4 linked regions of the Drosophila melanogaster genome follow. The protein of the gene in region 1 purifies or fractionates together with the protein of each later gene. This does not show direct contact. Each region holds a gene or a part of one and is shown on either strand. Other genes may lie near its edges.

The links.
Region 2: the proteins of hpo (region 1) and yki purify together in Drosophila melanogaster (affinity purification with western blotting; 2 studies listed by BioGRID, with this or other methods). This does not show direct contact.
Region 3: the proteins of hpo (region 1) and Fgop2 purify together in Drosophila melanogaster (affinity purification with western blotting; 2 studies listed by BioGRID, with this or other methods). This does not show direct contact.
Region 4: the proteins of hpo (region 1) and mts purify together in Drosophila melanogaster (affinity purification with western blotting; 3 studies listed by BioGRID, with this or other methods). This does not show direct contact.

Annotation. Positions count from the first base shown.
Region 1 is NT_033778.4:19,492,566-19,500,145, reverse strand, and holds hpo (hippo), read left to right. Parts: upstream 1-3,289; 5' UTR 3,290-3,397; coding exon 3,398-4,685; intron 4,686-4,742; coding exon 4,743-5,464; 3' UTR 5,465-6,150; downstream 6,151-7,580. Other genes in the region: CG15120 (uncharacterized protein), read right to left, coding at 1-27, 96-245, 356-527, 1,808-1,986, 2,080-2,344; Rep (Rab escort protein), read right to left, coding at 6,271-6,671, 6,729-7,580. UniProt on the Drosophila melanogaster protein: Plays a key role in the Hippo/SWH (Sav/Wts/Hpo) signaling pathway, a signaling pathway that plays a pivotal role in organ size control and tumor suppression by restricting proliferation and promoting apoptosis.
Region 2 is NT_033778.4:24,063,889-24,071,464, reverse strand, and holds yki (yorkie), read left to right. Parts: upstream 1-2,979; 5' UTR 2,980-3,149; coding exon 3,150-4,000; intron 4,001-4,210; coding exon 4,211-4,302; intron 4,303-4,748; coding exon 4,749-4,904; intron 4,905-5,151; coding exon 5,152-5,204; intron 5,205-5,287; coding exon 5,288-5,392; 3' UTR 5,393-5,490; downstream 5,491-7,576. Other genes in the region: Gpat4 (Glycerol-3-phosphate acyltransferase 4), read right to left, coding at 461-697, 1,223-1,465, 1,523-1,726, 2,131-2,265; Rap2l (Ras-associated protein 2-like), read right to left, coding at 6,125-6,282, 6,355-6,472, 6,594-6,731. UniProt on the Drosophila melanogaster protein: Transcriptional coactivator which is the critical downstream regulatory target in the Hippo/SWH (Sav/Wts/Hpo) signaling pathway that plays a pivotal role in organ size control and tumor suppression by restricting proliferation and promoting apoptosis.
Region 3 is NT_033779.5:6,940,999-6,948,098, reverse strand, and holds Fgop2 (fibroblast growth factor receptor 1 oncogene partner 2), read left to right. Parts: upstream 1-2,809; 5' UTR 2,810-2,965; intron 2,966-3,029; 5' UTR 3,030-3,102; coding exon 3,103-4,050; 3' UTR 4,051-4,921; downstream 4,922-7,100. Other genes in the region: ihog (interference hedgehog), read left to right, coding at 1-2,346.
Region 4 is NT_033779.5:7,824,964-7,835,415, reverse strand, and holds mts (microtubule star), read right to left. Parts: upstream 7,767-10,452; 5' UTR 7,365-7,766; coding exon 7,263-7,364; intron 4,955-7,262; coding exon 4,391-4,954; intron 3,948-4,390; coding exon 3,757-3,947; intron 3,683-3,756; coding exon 3,610-3,682; 3' UTR 1,840-3,609; downstream 1-1,839. Other genes in the region: Rack1 (receptor of activated protein kinase C 1), read left to right, coding at 8,247-8,355, 8,435-8,646, 9,080-9,715.

The sequences.
Region 1 (7,580 bases):
CATAGTCGATCTCATCGCCGCAGTTTACTATACAGCACAGAATATCCACTTCAATGGAAGTTACTGGAAGTAATCGAGTTTAGTGGAATACCTACAGTTTTTCACCTTAAATGCATTGAACATGGGCAGCAACTGGCGGTAGAAGGGCACCAGGGCGGGTCCCACCAAATCCGAGGACATGACCAGCTGTTGGATTATCTTCAATGTCGTGCACATTACCTCCAGGTTTCGTGTGCTCAATGCGTCTGCAAATGGGGGCGTATTTGGTTTTGGTTTTGTGCTCGCATTGGCAAGGTGCAAATTAGACCGAAAAACTTCGAGGCATTTGCGTGCCAGCCAATGCCCTGGTACTCACTCTTCAGCGGCAATATTAATTGCGGTATCACCGGGTGTATCTTCTCGCCCCCGGCCAAGAGGAGATCCGTGACCCCCTGGCGGGCATAGGTCTTGTAGGGATGTTTCGTCTCCGCCAGTCCGTCGAAGAAGAGCGGCAGATAGAGGCTGTAGTCCAGCTTTTCAATGTCCACCTAGGCGAGATACGGGAAGAGGTGACACCGTTGGCGGGTCAAAGGTGAATAGAGCCGCTCCAAGTTCGAAATTGGTTCGTGTACCGGCGGTGGCGCAAGTCTTGCAAGTGTACATTTGCACGCCATGCCGGTTAGGCGCCCTAGCTGATTTCCATTAAGATGCTCTTTGTTTGCTTACGTTGTCAGTGGAAAATTTTTAGAACACATCGAGAAATGGGCCTGTACCTGCCTATAGACTTTGCAGTGCTAAGTCTAGACTAATCTTTGTTCGAGAGTCTGCTTTGAGTATAGTTACCAGCTTAGCTTAGTTGATTTGAGCTAACAAAGGGTTATAATATAACCCACTATCTTAACCAGATTGTATTGCATATATGACTGAATGACTCAGAATAGGAATTTTACTTTGATTTTAAGAAGACAGCAACTTTATATTTAAGTCAAAGGCGACATCGCTGGCATCGCAGCTGCGTGAGCCTCACATATGGGTTTCCCCAACATCGACCTTCGACCCCGTGACGTAAATCAGGCAGTGTCACTCACATATCACTCTCCTGTCACGACGGCATTTCGGCCTAGATAAACAAACGCACCACCCAAATGACATACGCCGCATATGTGGACTCCACATCGAATATGGAGTGCCATCCAAGGTCTGTGACATTGAACCAGCCAAAGGGGTCACACACACACTCATGCGAGGTGGGTGGGAATTGGTTACACATAACTTTCCGATTGCAGCGGAGTTCCATGGGAAATTGACTGACAGTTGGACGGTGCGACGTTTTGAATGTCAGTAGTCGCATTCCGGACGGAATCGCTTGCCCGTCAGCCGTGGAGCTCTACTAACTCCGGAAATAGACAATGGCATATTATTTACTCGGTTTTTGCTTTCACCTGCAACACTTGAAATAATTGGACACGCAGGTGTACGAAACTCGAGCTAAATTCAAATATGGGCTTTGTCTATGGGTCACCGAGTGGTAAGGTTACCCCTTTCTAGTGACAGTCGTGCAATTTCATTTGATTTTTATTTGCATTGACTCACATTTGTATAGTTGAAGTTTAAGTTTGCCAACAGACATATGGAAAATTCTAGCTATGGTTACAAAAATAAATCATTACCCGAATGTAAGGGCTTAAAAAGAATTAAGTTTAAATGTATGACCTATCCAAATTTCGAACAATATAACTTAATACCATATATATAGTATAATTAATAAGTCAACTAACAACGAACCTAATGGAATTTAGCGCCCTACCAAATAATTCCCACCACTCACCGTCCATCCGATTTTGTCGCCCCCGCAGAGGTACTCCATCTTTATGGGCAGGTCGCCGCGGTCAAAGTACATTCGGAAGAGGGTTCCTCGTCCCGGATCATTAGCCCCACCGGTGGAGCAGCCATTAAGACCCATGCCCAAGTTGAAGGTGGACATGGACTTTTGTTGGCGCCTCAGAACTGAAAATCAGTACAAATGCAAATGTGGGCAGGGATGTCATTAGGGAAACAAATACCGATGGGCGAAACACCCAAATAAACAAACTAACGCACTTTTCGGATTGGGCACCCGACTCCTGGCACTGGCTGTCTTGGGGGCGGTTTCGTGGATGGGTCCGTCGATGACGACCGTGTTCTTTTGCTGCGACTGAATGGAGAAGGGTGGAACGTAGCGCGGACGCGACGAGACCGCCGCTCCATGGATGCCGCTAAGTGGACGCAGTTGCGCCGGATTGGCGGACTTGGAGCGCGTCGGCCTGTGGTAGTCGTGCGTGGGACGCCTTGCCGTCGCGGTGCGTGCCGTTTGGGCCATGGCCATTTCCGGTTGATGCGACGATGTGCAGCCACGTAGTGTAAACAGCGAACTGCCGAGCGAAGGAATTTCTGTAGCCAGGCTGGCACTCCTGGTGTTGGCGTTGCTTTTGCTGTTGCTGTTGGGTGTCGTGTCGTTTCTATGGAGCACGTTGCTAAGGCCTGGGGCGGCTTAGTGACCGATAAGCCAGCAGTTGGAGCTAAAGCCGCTTGCTCGCATTCGCTGCGGTGCTCTCTTCCAGTCGCATTTGTTACAATAACAAGCCGGTTAGCCTTATAGGCGCCAGTTATGTTGTTATTATCATTCGACTATGCACTAACCAAAGTCCCCGGACTGCATGTAGATTTCCCAAGCACTTTTATTGGGCATTTCAGGTCAGCGAACTCATCGGAATGAAGGGGATCTGGGTTTTCTGGGGGCGCAACCGCAGATTAACAACGACAAATTGGCACAGCTCATGTCAATCATGCCAACATTTTATTCTATTTGATGAACAACAACAATCGATCCATAAAAGCAATTTAATTTTATATACAGAAGTAATAAATATTAAAACGTATTCAAAGTGAAACAAATTACCTAAACAACTTAATATTATAAATATTATATGTTAATCAGAATTTACTAAATCTTTTTAATCAAAGTACAAAGTAAATCGTCATAAATCTAATCAATAGCCATGAGAAAAACATAGAAATGCCATCATCAAGCAAAGATTTCAAAAAAGAGGTAAGCATGCGTGAGTTGTAAATTTAATTTTAACCTTATAATTCTGAGCCAATAAATTAAGTTTTAAAAAGCGCGCCAAGAGAACTTATCGATAAATGGCTAATTCTGCTATGCAGCACTGGTGCTTTGTTTACATTCTGCGGTGTTCGGCGTTTGTCTGGCAACGCCGCACCTGTTCTGTGCGGGTGGCGTGTTGCAAAGTGCCGAGGGCACTGAGAACTACTAGTGTTGGCTAGCGATCGAGTGCGAATAAAGAACAAAAGTGTGATATGTCGCTGTGAATAGCCAATTATCTGTGTTTTCTCGTGCTAAATCAGAAAATTTTTCGCAATGTCTGAGCCAGAGGTGACCAGCGTTGTAGATATGAAATCGCCCAACATATCCTCCTCCTGCTCCTTCTTCAAGCTGAAGAAGCTGTCGGAGGAGTCGCTTCTGCAGCCGCCGGAAAAGGTCTTCGACATTATGTACAAGCTGGGCGAGGGCAGCTATGGATCAGTCTACAAGGCAGTGCACAAGGAAAGCAGCTCCATTGTGGCCATCAAGCTGGTGCCGGTGGAGTCCGACCTGCACGAGATTATTAAGGAGATATCCATTATGCAACAATGCGACTCGCCGTATGTGGTGCGCTATTACGGCTCCTACTTCAAGCAGTATGACCTGTGGATCTGCATGGAGTACTGTGGCGCCGGCAGCGTCTCCGACATTATGCGTCTGCGCAAAAAGACGCTGACGGAGGACGAGATAGCCACTATTCTGTCGGACACTCTGCAGGGCTTGGTCTATCTGCATCTGCGTCGCAAGATCCATCGCGACATCAAGGCGGCCAACATCCTGCTCAATACCGAAGGCTATGCTAAGTTGGCCGATTTCGGAGTCGCTGGTCAGCTCACGGACACAATGGCCAAGAGAAACACTGTGATCGGAACGCCCTTCTGGATGGCCCCCGAGGTGATTGAGGAGATTGGCTACGACTGTGTGGCAGACATATGGTCATTGGGCATCACCGCCTTGGAAATGGCCGAGGGAAAGCCCCCATACGGTGAGATCCATCCCATGCGAGCCATCTTTATGATTCCGCAGAAGCCACCACCATCGTTCCGGGAACCGGATCGCTGGAGCACAGAGTTCATTGACTTCGTGAGCAAGTGCCTGGTAAAGGAGCCAGACGACCGGGCAACGGCCACTGAACTGCTGGAGCACGAGTTCATACGCAACGCCAAGCACCGATCGATCCTAAAGCCTATGCTTGAGGAGACCTGTGCCATTCGCGAGCAGCAACGCGCCAATCGCAGTTTTGGGGGCGTGTTGGCTGCTAGTCAGGCGAAGAGCTTGGCAACCCAGGAAAACGGAATGCAACAACACATCACGGACAACGCGTTTATGGAGGATCCAGGTACTCTGGTGCCGGAGAAGTTCGGTGAATACCAACAGAGCTCAGCCTCAGATGCCACCATGATAGCGCATGCAGAGCAAGGTGTGGATGAGGGCACTTTGGGGCCGGGTGGACTAAGGAACCTGTCCAAGGCAGCTGCTCCTGCAGCGGCCTCTTCGGCAGCATCTCCTCTGGACATGCCGGCAGTTGACAGCGGCACAATGGTGGAGCTGGAGTCGAACTTGGGTATGTAAATGATTTTGAAAGGGCTGGCCATTTGTTATTGTATTGTCTGTTATTCAGGCACTATGGTAATCAACTCCGATTCGGACGACTCCACAACGGCCAAAAACAACGACGACCAGAAGCCGCGAAACCGCTACAGGCCGCAGTTCCTGGAGCACTTCGATCGCAAAAATGCGGGAGATGGCCGTGGCGATGAAAAACCCATAGCCACAGAGTATTCTCCGGCAGCAGCGGAGCAGCAACAACAACAACAACAGCAGCAGCAACAACAACAGCAGGATGAACAGCATCTGGCAAGCGGGGCCAACGATTTGAACAACTGGGAGCACAACATGGAAATGCAGTTCCAGCAGATCTCCGCCATTAATCAGTATGGTCTGCAGCAGCACCAGCAGCAGCAGCAAGTTCTGATGGCTTATCCCCTGATGAACGAACAACTCATCGCGCTCAACAATCAACCGAATCTGCTGCTCAGCAACGCTGCGCCAATGGGACAGCAGGGAATACCGGCAGCGGCTCCAGCTCAACCGCCGCCCGCATATCAGAATCAGCATATGCATACGCAATCGCACGCCTATGTTGAGGGTGAGTTTGAGTTCCTCAAGTTCCTTACCTTCGACGATCTGAACCAGCGGCTGTGCAACATCGATCACGAAATGGAGCTGGAGATCGAACAGCTAAACAAGAAATACAATGCCAAGCGGCAGCCAATTGTTGACGCCATGAATGCAAAGCGCAAACGCCAGCAGAACATCAATAATAATCTGATTAAGATATAGGTAAAGCAACTCACAATTTCGCAAGACAACTGATTATGAAATCTCAACTCACTCAATTGCCTCTACATTGGGTTAAGTTTGCAGATGAATACTGAATCTTACAGACCCATCATCTGTATCCTCTAGAAATTATTCGTGCATTGTGCAAATTTAACCTGGTGGAAGGGTCTAAAATCAATCACAAGAAATGAAAACACAAAAGCTTTATTGTAAAATGCAGTGAAAACAGAAAAGAGGAGTCATCGGCAGTATCTTCCAGCACGAAAGCATATTTTCTGTTAGATTTCATCAAATTTATGCTTGGTTTCTTATATCCTAGCTTTCATTGATCTGTCTTTTAATATAAATAGGTATGCTCGAATAAAATTTATCTTGCGTTTATTGTAGCTGCCCGTATTGTGAACTGCCCAGGCCTTATCATAATTTAATAAGACTTATAATATTCGTTCTTCCTTGGTAACTATTAACCTTTATCTCTAAAACACTTATTTTCTGTCTTCGTGCGATAAAAACAGTAACCCGTCAAGCAATACTTATAAAGGAGAAACATTTTTATACGCATTGGAATGCATATTTTTCGAACATATATTTATCAAAGCAAAATGCACAGAAACACTCACATTTAAACATTTATATATACCTAGTACTTTTAGCAATTATAAATAATTTACATAATAAATATATAGGAATATATGAATCAAAAAATTGCATACAATATATAACTTATTCGAAAGATACTTAAGAAAATTTTGTAATAAGTAATGATATATGTAGACCAAGGAAACCTCCTTTTTATTTTAGTATGACTACTCTTGTATATCCATTTCCTGAGTTGCCTGCTGCATGTCGTGCAATTGTGCCCGCAAATCTTCGGGCAAAGTGTGCTCGTTCAAGGCACTAGGGTCTTCACCATCCACGACAATCTCCTCTGGATCTGGGGCTCGTGGCAAAAAGTCGGCATCTGGGAACATTTTGCCAAATATGTCGCGAGCATTGGCAATGGCCGCGTCATAATCCAGCTCGTAGGTAGGTGGATCGGTGTAGTAAATATGCTCGGCAGCGGGACTTTTACTAGACTGGGCAGCAATTGTGAAGTATGAGCTAAATATTATTTGTGCGTCTGATTGATCGAAGAGTTGGCTAGTGAAAATGGCTAGATCAGACGCTGGATCCTCGCTCAACGCTGGCGTGGTCAGATGGAAGATATCTGTAAAAATTAATTCATTAAAAAGGAATAATTCACATATTTTCTTAAGTTTCTTACATAAACCCTCGGGACAGGCTCCCGTGTAGTGCGACAGTTGTATTAGGAAGGCTTCCCGTCCACCTTCATTGTCAAGTAGTCGAAGAAGATTTACACCACCACCTCCCTTGTTCAGCTCCTCATTGCCCAGGGGACTGGACGATATGAACAAGCCACGTGAGATGTGCGGCTTCAACTCGATGCCCTTTGAAACTGGTGTATAGCCAGGGGCAGAGACCACATTCTTGGCACGCAAAGTTTTCCCTGCGCTGCTCAGCAGGAACTCATTCGAATTGGAATCTAAGGCAATGTCGTCAACGGCTCGCTTTAGGCAGTAAATGCCACCATAAACAGCGCACAAACGGCAGAAGCACTGCGGCAATTCCCCGCAGCCATACATGGGAAAGAGAAAGGGTGTGTTGCCATAGCGGCCCAGACTGCCCAGAAATCGTTGTGTGCGCTGCATACCCTCCTCGAAGCTGGTGCTGGGGCCGCACATGGCAATGGCCTGCATCACGCACGACGATATCTTTTCGGTCACCCGCTGCGCCTGCAAATATTCCAGAAACGTTCGTCCCCGGAATTCCAACGAGTCCTCGTTGCACTTGTCCTCGCCGTAATCGTTGCAGGCGGTGAGAAATTTCATCAGCAAGCGCTTTTCCACGATGGTCAGTGTTTTGGTGTTGAAGACATCGCTACGGGAGCAGGGCACGGACACAATTTCACCATTGTGGCGCATGCACACATGGTCCACGGCTCGGAATTCAGCATAGCGGCAGATGTTCGACTTGATGAGCAACTGCACCAGCTCCCCGGCTGCGTATAAAATGCGCGGGCATAGATCCAAGCTGAAGCGTCGCGACTTGGCCAGCA
Region 2 (7,576 bases), 4.6 Mb from region 1:
TCTCGAATCGACTTTCTGCCCAAACTCGGAACAGTTCCGACTTATCAGGTAATATGAATAGTATGAAGTAATTCATGTCGGCAAGGCGGTTGAAACTTATCGATGCCTGTAGGTATGTTCATATGCGTCGGGTCTAAACTCCATGTACACAGAGATAATGGCTATCTGCCAAGGCGTACACATGGGAACTCTTTGATAAGTTTGGACGAATGGAAACCAATAAAGCCATTGGACAATTTATCGGCGGTTACCGGGCTGCTAGCCAAAGTCTGAAGCCCAAAAGTCGAGTTTCTCTTACTGGGATAAAATGATCGAACCGATATGTTAGAGCGTCAGGATTTAGTATGTTTAGGTACAAGTACGGGTTACAAAATGTGCGATTTCGGGTGTTACATGCATGCATTTTAACTTAAATGAAACCAGTTTGTGTGACGAATTTAAGATAAAATTTCTTTCTCACCAAAGAGTAGGTACAATCGGTCGATAATATAGCCACATCCAAGGGAGAGGTGTGGTTGGCTACACAGAACCCAGAGACTGTGGGCTTATATTGCTTATTGTGGAACTTGATAAAGGAGGACATAGAACTTGAAATAAGGCGGAACGTAATTTTGAATGACAAGCTCGCTAGAGAAAGCCGTACAAATCGAAAAGGTAAACAAGCCACAATGGAGCTTGATAAAACTGCAAATAAAACCTAGGAATTAAATAGTTTTTATTAGAGAAGTAAATTAAAAAACGCGCACAACACAAATAAATGGTGGTAAATTATGGGTAAATTAAAAAATTTTCAACGAAAACTTTGTTAATCACAAGTTCGCGGTACTGCGACGTATCTGTATTAACTTCCAGTAAACGTTAGTGCAAGCAATTTCGATAACAAACGCGCATTTGGGGGTCGGGTCGTCCGATACTCTACTAAACTTATTTCTCTAAAGAGATCAAAAGGTAGCTAGCTCTAAGCTGAAATGTAATCGATTGAGGAAAACGCTTTTTATCTACTAATGGGTAAAGTTTAACCAGTTATTGTCCGTTGAGTCACTTTCCTTTCACACTGTAAGATAACTACTCGACAGCCCAATCCCTATGCATGATGCTGTTCTCCAGTCTAAAGCGGAATACATTACTTAAGCGTATCCTTTGGGATAATTTGTAGCATGCATGGGAATCGGGACGATCGGGTAGTTGTGGAAAAGCCACTAAATGAACCGAATGTACTCACACCAACGAAGCATACCAATACCCGGAGGGGCATCAGGATGACGTAGCGGATGAAGAAGCCGAACACCCAGATGGAGGTGATTTTCCAGGAAATGAACTCGTAGTGCCTATTGGTGCGTGTCAGCATGTTCCAGCTCTTGAGCTCCTCCGCCTCGAAGCGCGACGTAACATCGTCCTCGATGATGGCCTCCACGCCAGACTTTACGTAGTCCAGGCATTTCTCAAAATCGAAATTGATTTCATCCTGCAAATGGGAAATGTTGTTTAAATCAGGTGCCCATTGCAATGCCGGACTCCTTACCTTTGTGGAGGAAACTGGCTTCTCTGGAGCGGGCTCCTGTGGCTGGGGCAGGAGTACCGCGTCCCTGGTAATCAATGTGGCTCCATTGGTGCCTTCTTTGGAATCGGCGTCGTCCACTAGTTGCACTCCCTGTTTGTCGTCAGTCTTGGGATTTTGAATGTGTTGGTTTTCTTTGGATGCTGTCTCTATACTAACTCGACCATACTGAAAGTAGAGGTGATTAGTTGTTAACGAGTCGAATCGGGGATTATCTGCAGATAAGATTATCGCAAGCATATCGTCGGACGAGGTAATGACTGGCACTTTACAAGTGTCTGGGAAGCGGCAACTTGGGTGCACTGGCGCACTCCTGCCCCGCAGATTCCTTGAGGATAGCCGAAGAATCTACTTAAAGCTTCCGGGCAAGCAATAGTTTCTCGAACTCGCCTGCATTGCAGTAATTGCGTAGGGCAGACGTAGTATGGCGTACTCCAAAAGCTGACTATATTTATGGACTTTGGAATAGCTTAACTATTGGTAAGACAGCACCATTTGCAAAGCCACCGCAGCAGTGGAGCACCTCAAATCGGTGCTTACTCATCTGAGGAACGAAAGCAAGCAATATTTACCTCGAATATCCTTAGGAGGAGGTTCACGTACGCTTTTCGGACGCCGATTGATTTGTTTATGGCGGAAATAAATATGAGAAATGAGAGGAAGCCCCCGATGGGGATCCAGAATATGTCCAACAGCACGGCGATCATTTTACATTTGTGTCATGCGACATTAGTTATTGTTAAGCGAAAAATGCCTCCGAATTGTGTCGTGCCAATATATACAATGTTAAAATACTTTTTGCTGTAGACCGAACTAGCGATGGACCTTGACTGTGTCAAAAACCTGTCTCGTGCTCACAGACCTGGCCCGCGCTCATCTCTACGGGGAACAAACGGAAAGGGGACGATTCCGGTCGGGCAGGAGACGGAACGGCTTCTTGTTCCACTGCCAATCGTTTTGAAAAGGGTTGAATGAACGTGCACTGAAAACAAAAAGGCACATTTACATTCAGATTATATTGTTATTGGGTATGTGTTTTTGACAGACCTTTACCTGCACTTATTACTTAAATCAACAAGGCACATTTACAATCAGTTTATATTGTTATTGGGTGTGTTTTTGACAGACCTTTGCCTGTACTTATTTTCACTAAACAAAATGTTATAAACCAATAAATAATAATTGTTAGTCTAATAATTTATAGTCTGATATTATGGAACACAAGTGTGTGGGCTATACACACACCATAATTTAATATCTACTTTGTTTTGTGCCTTATTAATTACAAAATATAGAATAAATCTTTAGCTATAGCTAAAGGAAATCGACAAAAGTCGTAATCGGCTTGCGGAATACCCCTGGCATTCCGCAGGTGCAGCCACGAAGCCGATTACATGAGGAACGCTAGTATCGGAATGGACAAGTGGACGGGGATAGCCATCTGGCAACACTGGGATAAATTTATTTTATGTTGGCAGTTCCGTAATTATTATTATTACTATTATTTATTGCAACGAAGTTTAGTTTTTAACACCTTAATGTTATAGTTTCGCGCAGCGCGATGGAGTGATACGTATATGGAAGAACATATATGTGCGCGTGCCTAATCGCTAAGATAATTCTATGTAGTTTTCGTTTGTATACAATAAGTGCCTTTTATATGTTAACGACGATGTCAGCCAGCAGCAATACAAACAGCCTGATCGAGAAGGAGATCGACGACGAGGACATGCTTTCGCCGATCAAGTCCAACAACCTGGTGGTGCGGGTCAACCAGGACACGGACGACAACCTGCAGGCGCTATTCGACAGCGTCCTGAATCCGGGTGACGCCAAGCGCCCGCTGCAGCTGCCCCTGCGCATGCGGAAGCTGCCCAACTCCTTCTTCACGCCCCCGGCGCCCTCGCACTCGCGGGCCAACAGCGCCGACTCCACCTACGACGCGGGCTCCCAGTCGAGCATCAACATCGGGAACAAGGCGTCCATCGTCCAGCAGCCAGATGGCCAGTCGCCCATCGCCGCCATCCCCCAGCTCCAGATTCAGCCGTCTCCCCAGCACAGCCGCCTGGCGATACATCACTCCCGAGCCCGCAGCAGCCCCGCCTCGCTGCAGCAGAACTACAATGTGCGCGCCCGGAGCGACGCAGCAGCAGCCAACAATCCGAATGCCAATCCGAGCAGCCAACAGCAGCCCGCTGGGCCCACTTTCCCAGAGAACAGTGCCCAAGAGTTCCCCAGCGGCGCCCCGGCCAGCTCGGCCATTGATCTGGACGCCATGAACACCTGCATGTCGCAGGACATTCCCATGTCCATGCAGACAGTGCACAAGAAGCAGCGCTCCTACGACGTCATCAGCCCCATTCAGTTGAACCGCCAACTAGGCGCCTTGCCGCCGGGATGGGAGCAAGCCAAGACCAATGATGGCCAGATCTACTACTTGAAGTGAGTTTGGGCAGATTTTAAAAATGATATGCATGAAGCTTTATTTAATACGTGTCTTCTTTATGAACTTATGAAAACTAAAATATTCTTGTGAGTCACAGAAATCTCATTGGCTTCGTTGGATGTCTTTCAAGTTTATCTCTTAATCATTACTAGCTCAACTAATACCCAAAACAGCAATCTCAACAATGGTGTTCTCTCTACTTGCAGTCATACTACAAAATCTACGCAGTGGGAGGATCCCAGAATCCAATATCGCCAGCAGCAGCAAATCTTGATGGCCGAGCGAATAAAGCAGAATGGTAGGTTCTATCTTAGATGTAATGCCTTAGATAAGCAAGTCGTTAACTGCCTGTGGCTGCGTCTCATTGTTAACCCACTTAAATCAGCCATCAGAGGACTAATTAATGCTAGAGACCAGGCAGGGATAAGATAGGCTCTAACTCATTCCAACTAACGCATGAACAGCACAGTACACAACCGATTTCAGGGAGTCCATTCCGTCCATTTTGAGCGCGCCAATGCACTTTTCGGGATTGGGTTGGAGTCTGATCATTTTGGCATTCGGAAGTGGGAGCTCGATTGGATTTGCTTTGAGCATACTCCAATTGATTTTGATATGTGCTGCATGCTGGGCGCCAGTGCCCCTCCGTTCTCATCCGCTTACACACTGCAGCATTACGTTGAAGACATATTTTAATTTGTTTTTATTTACTTTGGTTTGTAATTCATTGTTTTTGTTCGATAGATGTTTTGCAAACTACAAAACAAACTACCACATCGACCATTGCTAACAATTTGGGTCCACTGCCGGATGGTTGGGAGCAGGCAGTTACCGAGTCCGGAGATCTTTACTTTATAAATCACATTGATCGAACGACTTCATGGAATGATCCCAGAATGCGTAAGTCTCGTTCCACCACCCCGACTAGCGTAAGACAACGAGACACACAGATATCGTAGCGATATCGCTAGATAACATTGAGTGCGCAGTGGGCGGGGGGCCGATCACGTAATTCCCATGGCATCTCTGCTTTCACTATATAGTATAGTACTGATCTTGAGATAGAGGCCGAACACTCCACACTCCTTATCGCTCCATGCCTCGCCTTTACTAACTTAACGCCTTCCCTTACCGTGTATCTTTGCAGAATCTGGGCTTAGCGTGCTCGACTGCCCAGATAACTTAGTGTCTTCCCTCCAGGTAAGCATTCGCAGTTGCCGACCGCCGAGTTGGCGAACCGAGTTCCACGCCACTACCTCACTTTGCCCACTTTACGCTTTCAGATTGAGGATAATCTTTGCAGTAACTTGTTCAATGACGCACAGGCCATTGTAAATCCGCCGTCTTCCCACAAACCTGACGATTTGGAATGGTATAAAATTAATTAATTCAATGTATACATCTGTATTAGACCTAAAAGTTTTATATTTTGTATTATTCTAAATTAAATATTTTTCAAATTTTATAGTATTTCTTTACATAAACGAATTTGTGTGTTTATCATTATTACTGGGCGCCTTGTTTCTGGGTTTTAAAGCTTCCGACGATCAGTGAACGCACTGATTGAAAAGAAGATATCTGATTCAGATGACTTTCGAACGCCGAAGAGAGAGTTCAGGTGGATGAAAGGTGTGGTCAGCAGCGATGACTCATGCCGAAACCCGAATACCCCGACTATTGTAAAGTGCAAGCCAAGTAACCAAGTAACCAGAATGCGGCGTGCATTTGGACCAGAATGCACGCGATTCATGAGCTTCATTGAGTTCGATCTGTGACCGACCCAGCAGATTCAGCTTTACGTGGAGCCAAAGACATCCATGCTCATCGGTGTCATTCGCTTGCGAATCTGTTCGCGTTCGCTCTTTATCAATGCTTACCCATGAGTCACTTTTGCAAATATTCTTCTAATTTAGCATGAATTACTTATTTTCGTGATGTCAAGCTAGTCATCGTTTGAATTCTTTCAACAGCTTTCATAGATGATAAGAGTTGGACTTGGGTTTTTCACCACAGCTTTGTTTCAAGGAAATGAAAAATAAAAATTCGCCAAGTTTTCGTTATCTATTAAATATTAGTAATTTTATTTTTAACTATAATAATCTTACAATTTTACAAAATTTCTATAAAAGCGTACAACAACAGTAATTTTTTTTTTGCCGATTCTCTTGCGTCAAATTCATCTCTCGAACGATGGTGGCGAATACTTCGTTTACGTTTATCCGATCCTTTGCAGATGCCTCGATAAATGGACAGTCCCACAGTTGTGCCAAGGCATTACCTGTGAGGACGAGGAAAACAGTGGCGTAAATAAGAGCAGTCTCGTCTGGGGAGGGATATGGATGATGCCTACCTTCAGCGGTGGATACCTCTCTTTGGCAATCTAAATCGAATTTGTTCGCGACTAGTAGGATGGGTGCTGGCTGACTTCCTTTCACTCGAGTGATCACATTTTTCATACTAGAAATATCCTGTGGAGCAAAGCGAGACCATTAATTGGCATTAGTTGGAGTACTCAAGAGCAAGTTTGGGTTAAAAAGTACAAAGCAAACACGATGATGAACGCACAGGAGGGACTTGTGGCTTTCATACCTGAAATGTTTGATGGTTCGTAAGTGAATACATTACAATAAAACCATGACCATTTTTAATGTAGAGATCTCTCATGGATGCGAATTGCTCTGTGCCCGCGGTGTCCAATATTTCCAAGACGCACGGCGAGCTGTCCACCTGCAAAAGAGGGTAAATTGCATTAGTAAATTGTCTTGGGGCGTTGAACCCGCAGAAGCTGGCCCCATCTACGTACGTGGGCAAACGTACGTTCTACGACGTTCTCTTGGCTCGGTAGGGATTAATTGAAATAGTTATTTGCTCTTCAGACAAAGCTGCGGTATTAGGGGTTGTGCAAGTGCTGCCCACAAAATGGGGTGGTACACACGATGGCGGGCATGTGCGAATGCGGAAGAAACGCCTGCTCTTTGTCTTTCGACATCATTAGATATATTTTATTTGCCAAAGGCGGCACTTATGCGCCTGCAATGGGCTCGTTCCCGAGATCCAAGCAGTATCAGATATCCGATGGACTTGTAGCTGCGAGTGACTGCACTCGCATGTGTCACTCATTCGTTCTATGGCAAAAGGCTAACTCACGTCGCAGTAAATGTGAAGCATTTTGCTTTCAATTCGGCAGCACAATGCAGTTTTAATAGATAAACAGCATGGCGAGATACATACGGTTCCAGCTGATTGATTCACTCATCGAATCGGTTGCTTTGCAAGCCAAACTATGACAAACTATGAACTTTTGCGCAGGCTGCGATGCAAATGGCACTCTGCTCTGCGTAGAATGCACATTGTGGCTTGGGAACTAGTTTGGCTGGCTGCTCGAAACGAGAATTGCACTGCAAGGGAATGAAAATGCAGGTTTCGGAGTCGCTTAGCGTTATCAGTCCACTCCCTATTTAATAAACCCCCCGACTGCGGATGCGGACGCCTATGAATCATGTTTTCGGGCTGAAAACTGGCTTGGCCATTAATCCTTGCAGCAACACCCACGCCTATGCTCAAATATGCAC
Region 3 (7,100 bases), on another chromosome or scaffold:
AAAGCGAATGTCTCCCAGGAGGCGGCCATCTCGCGACTGAGGGTGCTCGTCCGACCAGACACTCTAGGCGAGTACCGATGCGTTGGCTGGTTCGGTCCGCTGGTGGTCACGTCTACCATTGCTCGATTGGAGCTGGCCAGCACTAGCCTGGTGGACGCTCAGGAATCGGAATCACCCCTCCAATGGCGGGTGTCTGCTGGAAACTCTGTGCTCTGGTCCTGCGGACAACAGGTGCAATCGAATCCATCTGCCAGTTGGTCCTACTATCGAAACGGAGTGGAAATCAAACCGGAGTTCATCGGAACCAATGGAAATCTTTTTCTAAGCAATGTATCCTCCGAGTCGTCAGGCAGCTATTCCTGCCAGGCAACCAATCCTGCCTCTGGCGAGAGAATTCAGCTGCCCGGCTCGCTGCAACTACAGGTTACACCAGAGCAGAGGTCGGAGAGTAAATCTCCACACTTGCTCAGGGGACAGCCGAGCTCCCAAGAAATTACCATACGCGAAGGGAGTTCGCTGTTGCTGCTGTGTCCTGGAGTTGGCTCACCGCCACCGACGGTTGTCTGGAGCAGTCCCGATGTCGTGGGAGCTGTTAAGAACAAGCGTTCGAAAGTATTTGGACACGCTTTGGAGATATCCAACACCCGAGTTAATGATGCTGGCACCTATATTTGCTTTCAAGATAATGGAGTGCGGCCTGCGTTAGAACACTACATAAAAGTGCATGTCGAGCAGCCGCCTCAGATTGTGCGACCACCCTGGGCCGATCTTACCAACGAGGGCGATCGTTTGAAGTTGGAGTGTAAGGCCACAGGAGTGCCAACGCCAGAGATCTACTGGCTGCTGAACGGTCACAGCAGCATCGATGATTCTGAGGCTGAGCTCTCCAATAATTTCCTGATATTGCACAGCGTCTTGAAGCGTCATGCGGGCTATGTCCAATGCTTTGCACGAAACAGACTTGGTGAGCACAGTGCGGGTACACTGCTGCAGGTGAATCCCAAGCAGATTCAGGAACCCCGGGAATCGGGGGGTACACACAGGCCCAAGCCCAATCAGGGTTCCAGGCAGAAGCAGATGTATCCACCGACTCCTCCAAATGTAACCCGACTTAGCGATGAATCCGTAATGTTGCGCTGGATGGTGCCCCGAAACGATGGGTTACCAATTGTCATTTTTAAGGTTCAGTACCGCATGGTTGGCAAGCGCAAGAACTGGCAGACAACCAACGATAATATACCGTATGGAAAACCGAAGTGGAACTCCGAGCTGGGCAAGAGCTTCACGGCTTCGGTGACGGACCTGAAGCCTCAGCACACCTATCGTTTCCGCATCCTAGCCGTTTACTCCAACAATGACAATAAGGAAAGTAATACCTCGGCGAAATTTTACCTGCAGCCAGGTGCAGCACTTGATCCGATGCCGGTGCCAGAGCTTCTGGAGATCGAGGAATACTCTGAAACCGCTGTGGTGCTGCACTGGAGTCTAGCCAGCGATGCGGATGAACACCTGATCACTGGCTACTACGCCTACTATCGACCCTCGTCCTCGGCAGGGGAATATTTCAAGGCAACCATTGAAGGAGCCCATGCTAGAAGCTTTAAAATAGCACCCCTCGAGACGGCCACCATGTACGAGTTCAAGTTGCAGTCCTTCAGTGCCGCCTCTGCATCCGAATTTAGTGCCCTTAAGCAGGGGCGCACCCAACGTCCCAAAACCAGCACCACAGAGGAGCCAACACTGCAAATGGGCGACCGCGATACAACAACTCCCAGTCATAACGAGACATTCAATATGAGTCCCATGCTGACGGGAACAATCGGCGGCGGGGCAGTGCTCATTCTGCTTCTGATTAGCACCTGTTTCTGTGTTTGCCGGCGTAGGAATTCCAGAAGCCGGGGAAACAATCCAAACAAGCCACGGATGGCGGAGCTGAGAGATGACTTTGTGCCGCTGGGCAACTGCTCGCCCACCAAGCAGCGCCAGCGAACACGACACATCCACATAACCTTGAATCCACTCGCCCAGCAGCAGCAGCAGGCGCTGGAGGAGAAGAATGACACAGACCAGGATGCGCCCTATTATCAGCGGCCGTCGAGCTATGACTACGATCCCACGCTGCGCAGGATGTCCTCCTCCTCGCTGCGTCGCTCACAACGCACGCTGGAACGTGCTGGCGGCAGCAATGGCTCCAACAACGGCAACAACAACAATCTAAATCAATCCGCAGAGGCGGGTTCCATCGAAAATCCCGGCAAGCCGGGTCGTGTACTCATGAAACGCCCCCGTCTGTCCAGTCGCTCCGAGAACCTCTCCTCCGGCAGCCTCAACAGCGTTGGCGTGTAATCGCAATCTCGTGATCTTTAGTCTGTGCATCCCTACGCCCGATGTACCATGCTATTCCTCTACCTCTGTTTTATCTACCACTTTGAATGACAAAACCTTTGCTGTTTGTACTTAAATAGGTACTTAAATAGACATAACTAGATTTATGTATGCATGATCGTTTAAGAACATAGCATTATGTCCATTCTACGCTAAGTCTTCCATTTTTCGCGATAAGATCAAAATCTGTACTGATAGCTTCTTAATGACCTATACAAAAATGACAATAAAGCTTGTAGCTTCACCTTTTAACCTTAAAAGAGTTTTTTAACATAAACATAAAGGATTTAGCCAAAAAAATGACATCTCAAGCTAAAAGTTAAAAAACAAAATTATAATTTAAATCTTTGGTATATTTGCGGTATATCAAGTGTTGAAACAGTATTTTTTCGCATTCAATGAGTGGCGTTAGGGATTTGTGCAACATCCGATGGCGTTTGGGATTTAATAAGCTGTCAGCCAATAATTGGGTCGTCGTCAAAATTTCTATTAAAATCGTTTCTATTCCTACATATTTTGGCCGGAAAATCAAATGAAGCTGTTACGCTAGGGACGAAGCTGCACCTTACCCGCACCGAACGTAAGACACTGCTCGTAGGCCCCAGAAAGTGCACAAATTTAAGCGGTTCCCTTTGTTTTCGCAGTGCCAGCAGCAGAGGGCCTGGCCCCCGAAAACAATACAAATCCAAAAATCGCAACTGGACTGAATTGGGCAGGATGTCGAACCTATCCGTGGGCCAGATTATAATGGATGCGCAGCGCATGGCCAGTCGGGTGAAGGACCTGGACGCCCTGGGCACGGCGCTGCTCGAGGAGGCGGAGAACAACAATCGGCTGGTGGAGAGCCTTCGCCAGTATCAGGACGACATTGAATCACTCAACCGCATTTCGAACAACAAGACCAACGCGGACATGGTGAATCGCATTCAGCAGCAAAACATCAACAGCTCGGAGATACTCAAAGAGAATCGCGAGCTAAAGATCTTCATTGAGGACTACGAGCGTGCCATGGAGCTGATGATGCAAAAGTATCGCGAGCACACCGTCTCCAAGGTCCTGGATAGCAAGTTTAGCTTTAAGGAGCTGTACAACGAACGCATGTGGCAGGTGATCCGGGAGCAGCGCGAGAAGATCAACGAAATGGCAGCAGTGATGCAGCTAGCTGCAAGTGTAGATGACGGTGTCGTGCAGCGAGAGCTGCAGACCATATCCCAGCTGCGTCTGGAGAACGAAACGCTGCGCGAGCTGCTGCAAATCTCCAAGCAGTACGGCTCCTCGCAGCGACCGATTCGTGAGAGCGACCACCTGCTGGAGGAGAAGGCTGTGCAAACGGACAGTACGGCGGACGACTCCGCCGACGATCTGTCCATATCGGGCGCCTCGGTGGAAAACATGAACAACAACTCGGTTATCCAGATGTACAGCAGTCCGGAGCAACCGGCTAAAGTCGCCGGCACCACGAACTCATTTAACACTGCACCAGTGCATAGTCAAAGTGAAACACAAGCACCAAGTGTGACATTGGAGACGGCGCCGCCGGGGGAAGAGCCGCTGGCGAATGATAACAATAACGGACCTGCAGTCAACACAACCAGTGCACCGCCGCCAGCGACGACGTCTAACGAATCTGTCGAGGATCAGGCGACAGTAGCGCCCGCAACATGATAGGTGCTGCTGTGCAACGTTGTTGATTCGTTTGGTCTTCATTTGAATCGTATTTACTCACCCACTCACAAAACAGGCCGCGCACGAAGAGGGCCCACATAACCTGCATTAGCTCTTAGCGATTGATAATCTCTAAGTAATTTATACATAATACGAATTTCAACATATTGTCCATACGCATTGAGAACAATGAAGTTTATTATTTAAAACGAGGTAAACACACTCACACCCACACAAATGTAATGTACAATGTACCCTGTCGATTTTATGGTTTGCTAAATAAATTCCAATACAAATCGGGGAATAACCAAAGGAATGAGCATATTTAATTTAACATACAAATGTATTTCAGTAGTGTATTTAAATAAGATGTAACTTTGCTTTAGATTGCTACTCCGTAAGCTAACTAATTCTTAAGTTATTTCCCAAAAGATGTTACGAGTAGAATCCCATCTATTATGCGCCCCTCCCATGAATTTGAATATTTTTGTTAGAAGGCTTTTTAAATTTGGCCATTCTAAATCCCAGCCAAACAGAGAAGCGGTTAAATAATTCATTGGATATGACTCATTGCTTATCGAGTAAGGCTGATCAGAACTTGATATACACACATACTTGTGTGGAGTTTAAATATGAATAAAGTATAGCCACTAAAATTAACATTTGCCACAATGGTTATCAATGGTTATCGAGCAGAAGATTTATGATATAGTCATGTTAATTTTCAAAAAGTCAACTTATTACACAATGAACCAAGTTGAACAGAATCTGCCATGAGAAAAAAAAACAGCAGTAATAACTATAATTTTAGAAGCTTAAGATTCCAAAGGCAAAATATTGGGGTTTAAAAAATTTTAAATAATTTCATTATTGTATTGTTTAAGTTTAATTTGGTTATTAATCAATATGGAAAATTAGGAAAACCAATTTTTTGAATAGATATTATTGAAGTAATTATTATTATTATTAGTTACAGTGTTTTTTTTCTTTAATTCTATCAAATACATTTTTGTAATTTTGATAAATATGGAACCTGAAGTGTAAAAGTAATATTATATGGATACCCGTAAAGATTTATGGCTGAAACTTTCAATTGGCTTGGACTTGAATATTTTTGAATAATTTTCGAATCGCTCTCATCGATTCTCTGCGCCAAAATATCGGTTCTCTTGAGGAAAACACTTTTCTCGCACGACTGGTAGGTAGTTGAAGCTTTCAGAAATAATTTAAATTTAGTTTCTCGTCGATTTTCAACGCGTTCGCAGCCGAAAAAAAAGTGCCAAGGAACTGCGCCCGGTTCGCATGGCAGCCATCTATATAAGTATTTCGAGTGCTCGGGCAATCGACGGTTATATTAAAGCTATATAAATATATAGGCACATACGTGCTTGGCCTTTGTACATGAATGTGAATCGGGTGAAAAATTGAAAACTGCCTGGATCGCATGGTTGATATAAAGATATATCCCTCTAATAATAAGCTATTGATCCAAATCTAACGATATTTCCGGAGAGTCTTGCATTTGAAAATCGTCTGGGTAGATTTATGGGAAGTGCGCTGCCATTTAGCAAGAAGAAAACTATGCTATTTATAAAACACAGCCAATTTCTGTGGCCGTAAATGTTTTGTATAAAGTGAATATTCCAAAATTAAATCAACCAAGCAGCAACCGAGTGTTTGTGTGTGTGTGATCGAAAGTGAACGAAAGGCTTTGGGGATTCCAATCCCTGTAAGAATCTACATATGTACACCAATGCTCCAAACTGCTGTATAATCCGTGTCGAAACGCACTGAATCCCGACGGTTACGCAACCATCAACATCCACATCCACTTCCACATCCAAGAGGCTGGCCCCATTCCCCGTCGTCCAGCCGCAAATTATTCTAAATGCGGAAGTATTTCGTGTAAGTCCACTGCGTTCTAAATTAAGTCACACATTTTGCAAGTGCCAGCGCCGACGAAAAACAGAGCGCCTTAGATGAAAATAGGTTAAAACGCTGGTAATTATTTATAAACGCACTAGGGATTTGCAATCATCGCAGCAGCAGAGCGCACAGAGAAAGGAGTGGTGAAAGCTCCGCGCTTTCTCTTCGCCTTTCTCTTCGCATCGCGCTCTTTCGTTTGAGTTTCGCCATTTTCGCCAAAAGAACAAAAAACATGCGCAAGCGGCGGAAAATCGCCTGCGCAACTAGCTTCCACCTGTGCCAGCTTATCTCGCTCTCTTTCTACTCATAGATCGCTCTAAAAATACTCAAATAGATGGATACATATTTGTTATTGTTTATATTTACCATTTCCATTCGATTGTTTATGCCTGACTGAAGTGACAGATATGAAGGATGATTTGAAATTGAATTAGAAAAGTCAAAGTTTAAGGATGTGAAGCTTTTGTTGTTAGGAGTTTTTTCTTCAATCATAGTACTAGTAACTAGTAAGTTACTTATCATTTTTTAAGTATTCTTAGCAATGGTTACATTTAAATCCAGATTTTAAACATTTTTATAATTATAGTTAAAGTTAATATTTGTATATGTGTATCAATGCGAATATAAGAATGCATATTATCACCTCTTTTTAAAAATAGAATAAATTCCAAGATATACATACATATGTATGTTAAATCGACTTGCTGATTTCCTTTTTTTAGTAAGTTAATTTTTAAATCAGTTTCATTTTTTGTTTCTCAGAGTTAATATATCTGTCTTCCAATGAGGGATAGTTAATTAATCGAAGGCATTGATCTACATCTGCACTTCCAACTCACGTTGACAATAGCCATCAAACCAGGCAGCTATTCAATTTAGAACCAATGGCCAAGTGAATGATAACGAAATGTAAATGTTTAAGTATTTGATGAACGTGTACAAAATTCTTTTGTCGATTTGGCTTAGTGCCAGAAATTCCACAGACTTGCGCAGTCAATTGGGTATTGGGATCGTGCGAAAAGTACATAGAAATAGCAAATGTAAATTTAAAAGATTTTAAACAAAAAGAAAAAAATAAATAAATAAAACCAGTAGTGAGATGTTACGCATACCGTGTTAATTAT
Region 4 (10,452 bases), on another chromosome or scaffold:
GCCCTCAAAGACCTCGATCCAAATAGAATTTCCCACAGTTGCTACATACCCTTTCAACACGCTTCAAGTGCCGAGTGCACAAAAAACGACTGAAAATTTAAATATATACATATATACAGAAAAACTGGCTGAGTCTGAGACGCAAATCGTTGGGGATTTATCAGCCAAAGGGAATGGCAGCCGAAACAACAACAATAATAGCGATGAAAAAGAAGAACAAGCTGGAGAGTTGGGAAAACTTTTTGTATATGGCCAAGTTTGATGCTGAGTTGAGTTAACAACGTTACGTTAACTCCTCGGCTCCCCAAACTTTTTGGGTATTTAGCGGCAATCGATTTTCGTTGATTTTTCGCCAGCCCCCCTGCCACGGAAAAAGAGGCAATCTCGCCATCGGATCTGTGGGCCAGCCACCCACCCACCTAGTAATTTTCCCAGGGAACGTGTGAGTTGCAGGCCTGACCTTTCAACCTTTTTCACAGAGCCCGCACGTGGCCGTAGAAACGGAGTATTCAGTCCCAAATATTTCACAGAGGCATCATCATCATCAACCGGAGCGGGAATGGCAACTCATCATCATCATTGTAGTCTGCAAAGTTTATTTAGGCAAAGCGCTTCACTTTTGGCTACACTCTTCAATTTTATGGCAACAAATTTGCATCGTAAAAGCTACGCCAACCGCCCCCCCCCCCCCTGCAAATCCAACCACCAAACATACTAGCCCCGAAATTATCCACCCGAAAAAGCGCCCACACACAGACGATAAAAATACAAAACGTTTGTTTAGGCTCGCCCTCTCTTTCTGTCCCTCGGAAAAATCAGTCGTAAACTAAGGACAAAATCGTAAAAACGGAGCAGTTCATTTAAATTTTTAATATTTAGGCTACCTTCAGTGGCAGCATACCCCACATTCCCCCCCATTCCATTCCGACCGTAACCTTAACCGTATCCATCATACCGATTCACTTACTTTTGTTTTATGATCCGAACATTTTCGACCATCATCTGTGAGCAAGAGTCAGAATACACTTAACAAATCTGCGGATTACTGCTGCTATAAAATCAGTGGATTTCTCGAAATCTTTGTACCTGATATAGTATGCAATGCTACCTTACTATTCAATTTAAATATTATATTTCCAATATTAAGTTATTATGATACCAAATATTTGCCAAGTGTTTTAAGGGGCCAACCCAAAACGAGTATCTTTCATCGTTTTGAATTTATGCCTTTAATTAAATACAAAATCTACCTAGGATTCATCTTGCTGGGCAACTTTTCTGTGGCATTCCTTTACTTAATAACAGGCCATCAAATAGAGTTGTATTTCTGTGGGTTATATTCATGCCGAGCATCCTCACCCGCCACGCCCCCTTGCGCCTCCTTGAACACGCACTCAGGATTTATTTCCACATTTATATGAGACTGCGGGGGGTGCGGTGCGGTGCGTTGGGTTACTGGAGAGGGTATGTAAATTTTTCAGTAAAAATTCACTTCGTGATAATGGATTTTCCATGTCGCATACGCCGCAGTCGTCGTCGACGTCGCTGCCTGCACGACAAATACAATCTGCTCCAGGGCCTCCAACTGAACCCCCCCCCCTCCACGCTCCCCTCTTTTACAACTGAAAATCCAGCCCCAACTCCATGGCCTCTCCACAGCAGCCAGGGCGACAATTACCTCCCCCCAGCATCCTGTGGAGCTCCTGTTCTGGTTTCGGGTTTGTTGGGGCATGATAGATGACAAGTCTCGGTAGGTGTACGTATGGGTATGGTTGTTTGCTCGCCAAGTTCTTGGGCACTTGAGAGTCCCCATCCTCGATCCAGCATGTTCTCAAATTTAGATTTTCATCCAGACCAAAACTCATGTGGATACAGTGCCAACTGGCGGTGCACGAACTGCTTATCTCAGAATAATCCATATATTCTAGGGTTTCTACTATTGCCAAATGTTTATTATTTATATATCGTTTACTTTCTTGCTCTTAATATACTTTTCATTCGTATGCTAAAGTTAAATAACCAACTAAATTATCAGGAACATCAAATCCAATCGAAATAGTTTCCAAAATACTTTGTAAACAGAAACAATAGAGAGCGACCACTGTACATGACTTTTGACAGTTCGTGTGGGCGGCTGCTAAAATATGCAAAAATTTATACAAAGTTGGCAAGATTTTTGCTTTCGCTTTCGCTGGGAATCAAAGGCAGCCCGGCTCTGATTTAGATTTTGACTTGGGCATCATTGGTTGGCTGGCACCACGACCTCCGTCCCTTCTATCTGCCCTCTGCCATCCATCCATATATCACCTCCCCCACACCCATATCGCCTCCTTTGTGGTCTCAATTAGGTGGCCCGTTTGAGGCTCGACTTCCGCTCGTCGTGGTGGCCTCGTGTTAACTTGGCCATGTTCGCATACACACTACCAAAGGAGCCCGCAGGCCAAAAGGGAGCGTCATTGCCAGAACGAAAAACCAAAATCGTTCGCATGGGTCTCTCTTAAAGGACTTTCTCCCTTGAACGCGCGCTCTTCGATGGCTCTCTTCGTCGGCAGGTGGGAATTGTTTGTTTGTTTTTTTTTTCTTTCTTTTATTATTATTAAAGTTACATATGAACTTAATTGATAATGAATTTTTTTTAATCATTTTTCTTTGCTTTTTTGTTTGTTTTTTAATAGTTTTATTCGCTTTTTTTTATTTAATTTTAATCAGTAATATTAAATTTGTTGTATTTCCTTATTTTCTTTTTTATAATTTTTGTTTTTATATAAATCGCTGGCCCGCCCCGCGCTTCCCCCATCGCAATGGCGTTCGCTGCTGCTCCTGCCACATACTGCTCCTACTTTTTTGCTGCTGCTTCATCGTTATCTTCCTGCTTTGTCGGTCGTGGGTCGTCTGCTTCTGCTTCTGCTGCTGCTACCGCTGCTGCTTGCTTATGCTGCTACGTCCTGGCGTTCGTCCTTTCGTCCCGTTTAGTCCTTTGTCAGCCCCTTCCGCCCACACACACATCACGTCATAATCCATGAGTCCATCCATCCATCACTCCTGCTCCCTGGCTTTCTGCTGCGACGCTTAGTTCGTTATTTTTATAAATTAACAAATTTAGCTAAGTAGTTGTAGTTCTTCTTGTTGCTTGCGGTTTTGTTGCTTGGTTTCTGGGTTGGTTGGTAGGTTCGATTGGATTGTATCATTTCTGTATACTGCTTCTCCTTCTGCTCCTCCCCTTTATCTTTGATATAAATTTTCTGCCTGCCGCCCCCGCTGGCGACATTTCCGGTTTTTTCCTTTTCTTTTAAACTGTGGCCAACAACAATAACTGTTCAATGCATTTTTGTGTTCTCGACTGTTATGGTTACTTTTTTTTTCTTTGTTTATACAATATCTCTTCCACTGCTCTCTGTTTAAAACGACCTCCACAAAACAAATGCATCGAGGTTTTTAGTTTTGGGTTGTTTTTTATGGTAGTTTTTTTTTCGACAGCACTTGCCATTTTGTTTATTTTGTTGCTGCTGGTTGGATTTGTATATATTATATATTGTTTCGGTTCTTCTTGTTGTTATAATGCGATGTAATATGTGTAAATGTAAGCTGCGTAGGTGCGAGCAATCCAGCTTAAAGGAAATAATCGGGTGTTCTTCGCGTAACATGAGGCTCCCCGCGCCTGGGTGCTGGATCAAATTGTAGGCTAAAATAAATGCAAACGATTAGATTAGTCAGACATGCCGCATTTAAAGGCAGCTCAAGCGAATTGCCACTCACAATGAAAATTTAAGTGAATCATCCAGTTCCATAAGAGCCGCTTGGTTGCCACAGCGGTAGCAATAGTTTGGCGCTGAGAATATTGTGACCACATTGCGATCGTGACACCAGTTGTAGCCCTCCATCACCAGCTGATGGGCGCGCGACACCAGTGTCAGGCCGTTTGTGTTGTTAAAGGTTTCCGAAATATCCTTCAAATAAAATGGAAATATTAGTAAAAATGCTTATAGAAGTAATTGGCTCTTTCTCAATGAAATTCGATTTGGATAGTTAAAATTTGTTTTGTAGTTGACGGTTTGAAATGTCAAAACAATTTATAACGAAAGCTCTTTCCATTGATTGCGTTATCAGTTGGGCCTATATCAGCAGTAGACTTCGATTACTGATTATTGATTTTCATCAAGTGCATGCCCCGATAAAATTTCCTATTAAGATCAATAAAAAATTTATCTAGAATATATTTGCATGCTTTTGAGCAGACAATTTTTGTTCAGCTTAGTTTTAATCGGGTCTTCAGATGTATTTCACTTAACAATTTTACAATGTGATTAAAGAATAAATTTCCAAGTATCCAAGCTAGGCAAATCAGCTCCGAATTTTATTGAGAAATAGCCAACATGCAGACAACACTCACCTGGCCAAAGGTGTAACCGGCGCCACGAGGCGAGATTCCCCAGCCACCCCTGTCATCGGGATCGGACCAGAGCAGATCGCACATGGGACCCTCGTGCGGAACCTCCTGCAAGCGATCGAGGGCCCGAATGTGATCCAGACTGTCGATCGAGGGACTGAGGCCTCCGTGCAGGCAGAAGATCTGCCCGTCGACGAGTGCCGTCAGTGGCAAGTAGTCGAACAGATCCGTGAAGTACTTCCAAACGTTGGCATTGCCATACTTGCGCAGGCACTCGTCGTAGAAGCCGTACACCTGTGTGATCTGGCGCGACTCGTGGTTACCGCGCAGGATGGTGATGCGCTCGCGATAGCGAACCTTCAGGGCCACCAGAAGGGTCACGGTCTCCACGGAGTAGTATCCACGGTCCACGTAGTCGCCCATGAACAGGTAGTTGGTGTCCGGAGACTTGCCGCCTATCCGGAAGAGCTCCATGAGGTCGTGAAACTGACCGTGGACATCTCCGCACACTGTCACCGGGCATTTTACCTCCTGCACATTGGACTCCTTGGAGAGAATCTCCTTGGCCTGTAAAGAAATGGAAACAGTAGACCAATCAGCAATTTATTTATGGATATTTTTAGGGAGATACGTTTTAATGTTACCTCCCTATTCGAATAACCGAATAAACAACTTTGAATACCAATATTAAAATACTGATTAACATAATCTAGCCCAAATCGTTTCCAGGGTCAGAAAAGATAAATAAAACGATTAGTACTTTGTACATTATTCACTATACTTAATGACTCAACGCCAACACTCAAAGTGTACTCTAAAAATAGCTTGTAACTAGAAGAGAAATTAAAACAAATATATTGGATAAGTGCATGCGTTTTTTTACAGAGAATCGAGGGAAATAAATATCACTTGTTCTCTTTAAACATCCCACAAGAAATTTTAATGGCATCAAAACTCAATCTCTTGGGTAATTCTGAAAATAGCTTCCCGCAAAACCCTATAAAACTGTGTACCTAAACATTGCTACTTCCTATAAGAAAAACATAAACATGTAGCAAAATTTCCGGAAATTACAAAACATTTTTGTTACGTTTGTGTGTAAATAGTTAACCAAATGAAAGTAATATGGAAACTTTGATGTTCTATTTTTTCACCTGCCATAATTCGGTGAATGGTGAATGACATGACAGAATATCTGCGAAACAGAAAGTACTGAGAAAACCGAAAGTGATCCGCATGTGCGGATGATAAAACCTTGTCAAAGGCCAAGGTTATCCGTCAAGATTTGGTCAACAAGCGAAGAACCTCAACTATTTTCTCATCGAATTTTGCGTCAGTTGCAAACAAGTTTAAGTTGCTAATATAAGCTGTATGAAAATCAAAACAAAGGAAGCAAAGCTTTTTAATAAGTTGAGATAAGATGAACGTACGATAAAAAGTTGTCCGTATAAACATAACAAATTCACGATTCTGGAAAGTATTCTATCGTCTTTAGTAAAATAAAATATGAAGGTCGATTCAAAAATTCCCGATGGGCGTCAATATACAGCATCAAAAAAACCGGTTTTTACAAACATAAATGTGCCAAAATGAGCAAACAAAAATTGCACATTTATTTTGACCATTCCGCCGTGTTCTTTGCGAATTCTTATATTTATCAGCTGACGAAATGGGACATGACAACAAGTTCCGGGGGTAGAATCCGGCGGCGCAAATGAGCGATTTGTGCGTGAGCCAATTAGATTTTTTGCCATATGCACAGCATTACCTTGGAGGCTGTTGCTTCCGCTTGGCCAGAAATCGAAAAAAAAAAAAAAAGAAAAATAATTTTTGAACTCATGACGAGGCCAGCGCACCCATACAGATGCATGCACAAACACTGATGCAGCTTGTGCTCTCTCCGCGTACTCTCCGCTTTTCTTTTCGTAGCAACGGGAAGGATGGAGAGAGGCCGCAGAAGACGCACCCGAGAAGAGCGAAGAACGTTCTTCTCGGAGGGAGAACGGAGATTCAAGATTCTAATGGGAACACTGACAAATATTTGGGTGACGCAAACATAACCCCACTTACTCCTAAATCAATGAATCGTTATCTGTTCACCCTCTCTTTTTCTCTCCCTCTCTTGCACTCTTTTTGCTTGTCTGTTTGTTTGTGTGCGCGACGCGCCTGATGAACGGTAAAATCGGCAAATTAAAAACAATTGATATCAAAAGTGTTTAATTGAACATGGTTGGTCATAAAAAAAGGAACACAAACACCAATGCAAGTGCATTATTCTAGAATTGAGATACGACGGTACATAGATACATATTCTAGGGGCGCGCACACACCGACGCACAAAAACATTAAGTAATATTTACTCAGCAACGACAAAACGCGCATGAGGTTGCACGGAGCGGGGGTGCTCAGTTTCCGGTGGACACAATAACAACAACATTAAACACGCACAATGCACTTTAGTTAAACAATCAAATTGTACAATAATACAAAAAGAAATATCTCTTTTTGCCCAGGTTTAGCCCATTAGACCAAAGCGCTGTTCTAGCTGTCGCATTCACGCACGCACTTGCCCGTCCCGTTGTCCCGCTCGCACTTGTGCGCGGCAATGCGGCGCTTGGCTGTTGGAATTTACCAATATTCCAATATGGCGACGCAAGCCGCCGCTACTGTGCGAGCAAGAGGGCACGACATGAATCATGCTCTCGCGCTCTCCGCTCAGCGCCTCTCCCCATTGGAAAGAGCGAGAGGGCCAGAGACACGCAGCGTTGGAGCACCATTTGCAAAAAAAAATCGCTCGCTCGCATGCAATGACGAAAATTATTTTTATAACATCTCCTAATTCGCATGGGGAAAATGGGCAAGGACCGGGCCTTACCTTGTCGCAGAGGGTGCGAACTTGTGTCTCTGTCAACTGATTGCATTCGTTCAACTGCTCAATCCATTGATCAAGATCTTTTGTTGTTGCTTTATCCTCCATCGCAGTTGTGGTGGAAGAAAAAGTCTCGTCAATCTTTGTCGATTCAATTTTGACGGCTTTTATTATAACTCAGGGGTGCAGGAAAATTAGCAACTACTGTTGCGTTCGATTGCCAACCGCGTATTCACTCGTTTATCTCCACACAATTGCCAATCGAATCAACTCGATTTGGGCGATTTTCTTCGTATTTTTTGTTCACAAAAGAGACGACGACACGATATACGAAGGGAAAGACTGCCCTCGGTGTGACCGATTGCCGCGAAACGCTTAAGAACGCGCTGTGTGTGTGTGTATCGATTAGCGATGCATGCTTGACATTTCTACAAAAATACCGACTAAAACTTGTGGATGGTATCCTTACTATTTGGCCAACAGTTACCAAGTAAAACTAGAAAATAAAGTGGGATCAACGCTCACCGTTTTTTTTACATTATTACGTGATAGTGACAAAATAAAAGTATGTACATAGGCATTTGGGCAACAAGATATTGGGATTGTTTTAAAATCCTTTAGTAGTCTTTTCATAGATGTGCATTAGCGTCGATTATTTCTTAAATAATAGCACAATTTGTTTTAAAACTAAACTTCAATATTTCTGGGGTTCTTTAGATATAATAATATTAATACTTGGTGTAAAAGTATTTATTTTTTTTATATATATTTTAAAGTTTTTGATATTATTATTTGACGTTACATTTTACACGTATTATTTGTAACAGAAAATTCAAACTATCGATAGTTTTGTCCTGTCCAACACTGAACGCTCGCTGACAGTTGGCATCTTAGCGAGCACTGGAACCGGAACTGCCTCTTTTTCTGCCAGCTTGCAGCGCCTTTGGACGTGTTTCCTTCGCGCTCCGTAGCAAATAATATAAACTCAAGATGTCCGAGACCCTGCAATTGCGCGGTACCCTCATTGGCCACAATGGATGGGTCACCCAGATCGCCACCAACCCCAAGGATCCCGACACCATAATTTCGGCCTCCCGTGGTAAGTAATCGCCATTGAAATTCTTCGGATTTATCTGGTAGCACGTGCGTATATTAATGGCCACCATCTCGATTCGCAGACAAGACCCTGATCGTGTGGAAGCTGACCCGCGACGAGGACACCAACTACGGCTACCCCCAGAAGCGTCTCTACGGACACTCGCACTTCATCAGCGACGTGGTGCTCTCCTCCGATGGCAACTACGCCCTGTCCGGATCCTGGGATCAGACCCTTCGCCTGTGGGATTTGGCCGCCGGCAAGACCACCCGTCGCTTCGAGGGACACACTAAGGTGGGATAAGATTCCAATTGCATTTAGTTCGTTTAGGGAACTGAGATTTTGAACCGATCTGTACCGGCAAAAGGCTAAATGTAAGGTTAGGAGTGAGGTTAGGCCCGCCTTTGCCGCGTACAAATCGAAAAAATATATATTGCGCCTATGCGAGGCAGAATTACTGGTTGACATCTGTACGACGTACGCTTCACCCTTCGCTCGAGTCTCGGCTATAAATTGCTTGAAGCTCCATCGTAAGTAGGCAAACAATCTCTGATACCCATTGATTCCTAATTAGTTGCAAGAAACCCATCTGGATTCCGTTCACTGACTAATTGAGTTGGGACTATGCCCATTCAGTTGGTCAGTGAAATATCCAGTAAATATATTATTTTTATGAAAACCATACCAATACCATTAGCTAATCGTCAAATGCTTGTTCGCTTTCTAGGACGTTTTGTCGGTTGCCTTCTCGGCCGATAACCGTCAGATCGTGTCCGGCTCTCGGGACAAGACCATCAAGCTGTGGAACACCCTGGCTGAGTGCAAGTTCACCATCCAGGAGGATGGCCACACCGACTGGGTGTCGTGCGTGCGCTTCTCGCCCAACCACTCCAACCCGATCATCGTGTCCTGCGGCTGGGATCGCACCGTCAAGGTCTGGAACTTGGCTAACTGCAAGTTGAAGAACAACCACCACGGCCACAACGGCTACCTGAACACGGTGACCGTCTCGCCCGATGGCTCCCTGTGCACCTCAGGTGGCAAGGACTCCAAGGCCCTGCTGTGGGACCTCAATGACGGCAAGAACCTGTACACTCTGGAGCACAACGACATCATCAACGCCCTGTGCTTCTCGCCCAACCGCTACTGGCTGTGCGTGGCCTACGGACCCTCGATCAAGATCTGGGATCTGGCATGCAAGAAGACCGTTGAGGAGCTGCGCCCCGAGGTCGTTTCGCCCACGTCGAAGGCCGATCAGCCCCAGTGCCTGTCCCTGGCCTGGTCCACCGACGGCCAGACTCTGTTCGCCGGCTACTCCGACAACACCATCCGCGTCTGGCAGGTGTCTGTTTCGGCTCACTAAGCTACTGACCTTTGTAACGGGCGTCAAATTTGTTTAGCTAAAACAAAAATAAAATTTAAGCGTCCTTAACTGAAATTTGTGTATCTTGTAGCGGCTGAATTAGTTTTAACTTTAGGCTTTGGGCTATAGAGTTTTCTCCGGATAGATGGGAATAGTATAAACAGTGGGACAATTTAGTTTAGGCAGAAGATAAGTAAATGTTAATAAAGAAAACATTTTATATAAACTTTAATCGAAAGTGGATGTTTTTAATCCCTAAACTACAAACCAGATCATTTCATTGAAATCCAAAACGAATAATGTTGAGAAAAACAATTAGAAATTGAATTTAAGTAGCAAAACGAAATGTTCTCGTTTCGTATGCATTGTTTTATTCGTAAAAACATTTCGACATTTAGAAAATGTTTTCTTTTACACGTATAACAAATAAATTAAATAAATAGTTACGTGATGATGTTACCCTGACTGAGTCAGTGACTGTGATGATTTTCGTGTGCGAATTGGAAAAACGGAGTGCACGGCAATGTGGCGGCGGATGCAAACATATTTTGTTTAAACAAAACAACATTGACTAACAAACAACCTTAATATTAAGACAAATGATGAACGCATTTTCGAGTGATGAATGTGTATGCATGTCTGTAATGGGATGAATGAACGCTGCCTTTGGACAAGTAACAAAAAGGTCAAAAGGTATTTAGCAAAATGCCTAACTAGAAAAATTCGGGCACTTTCGT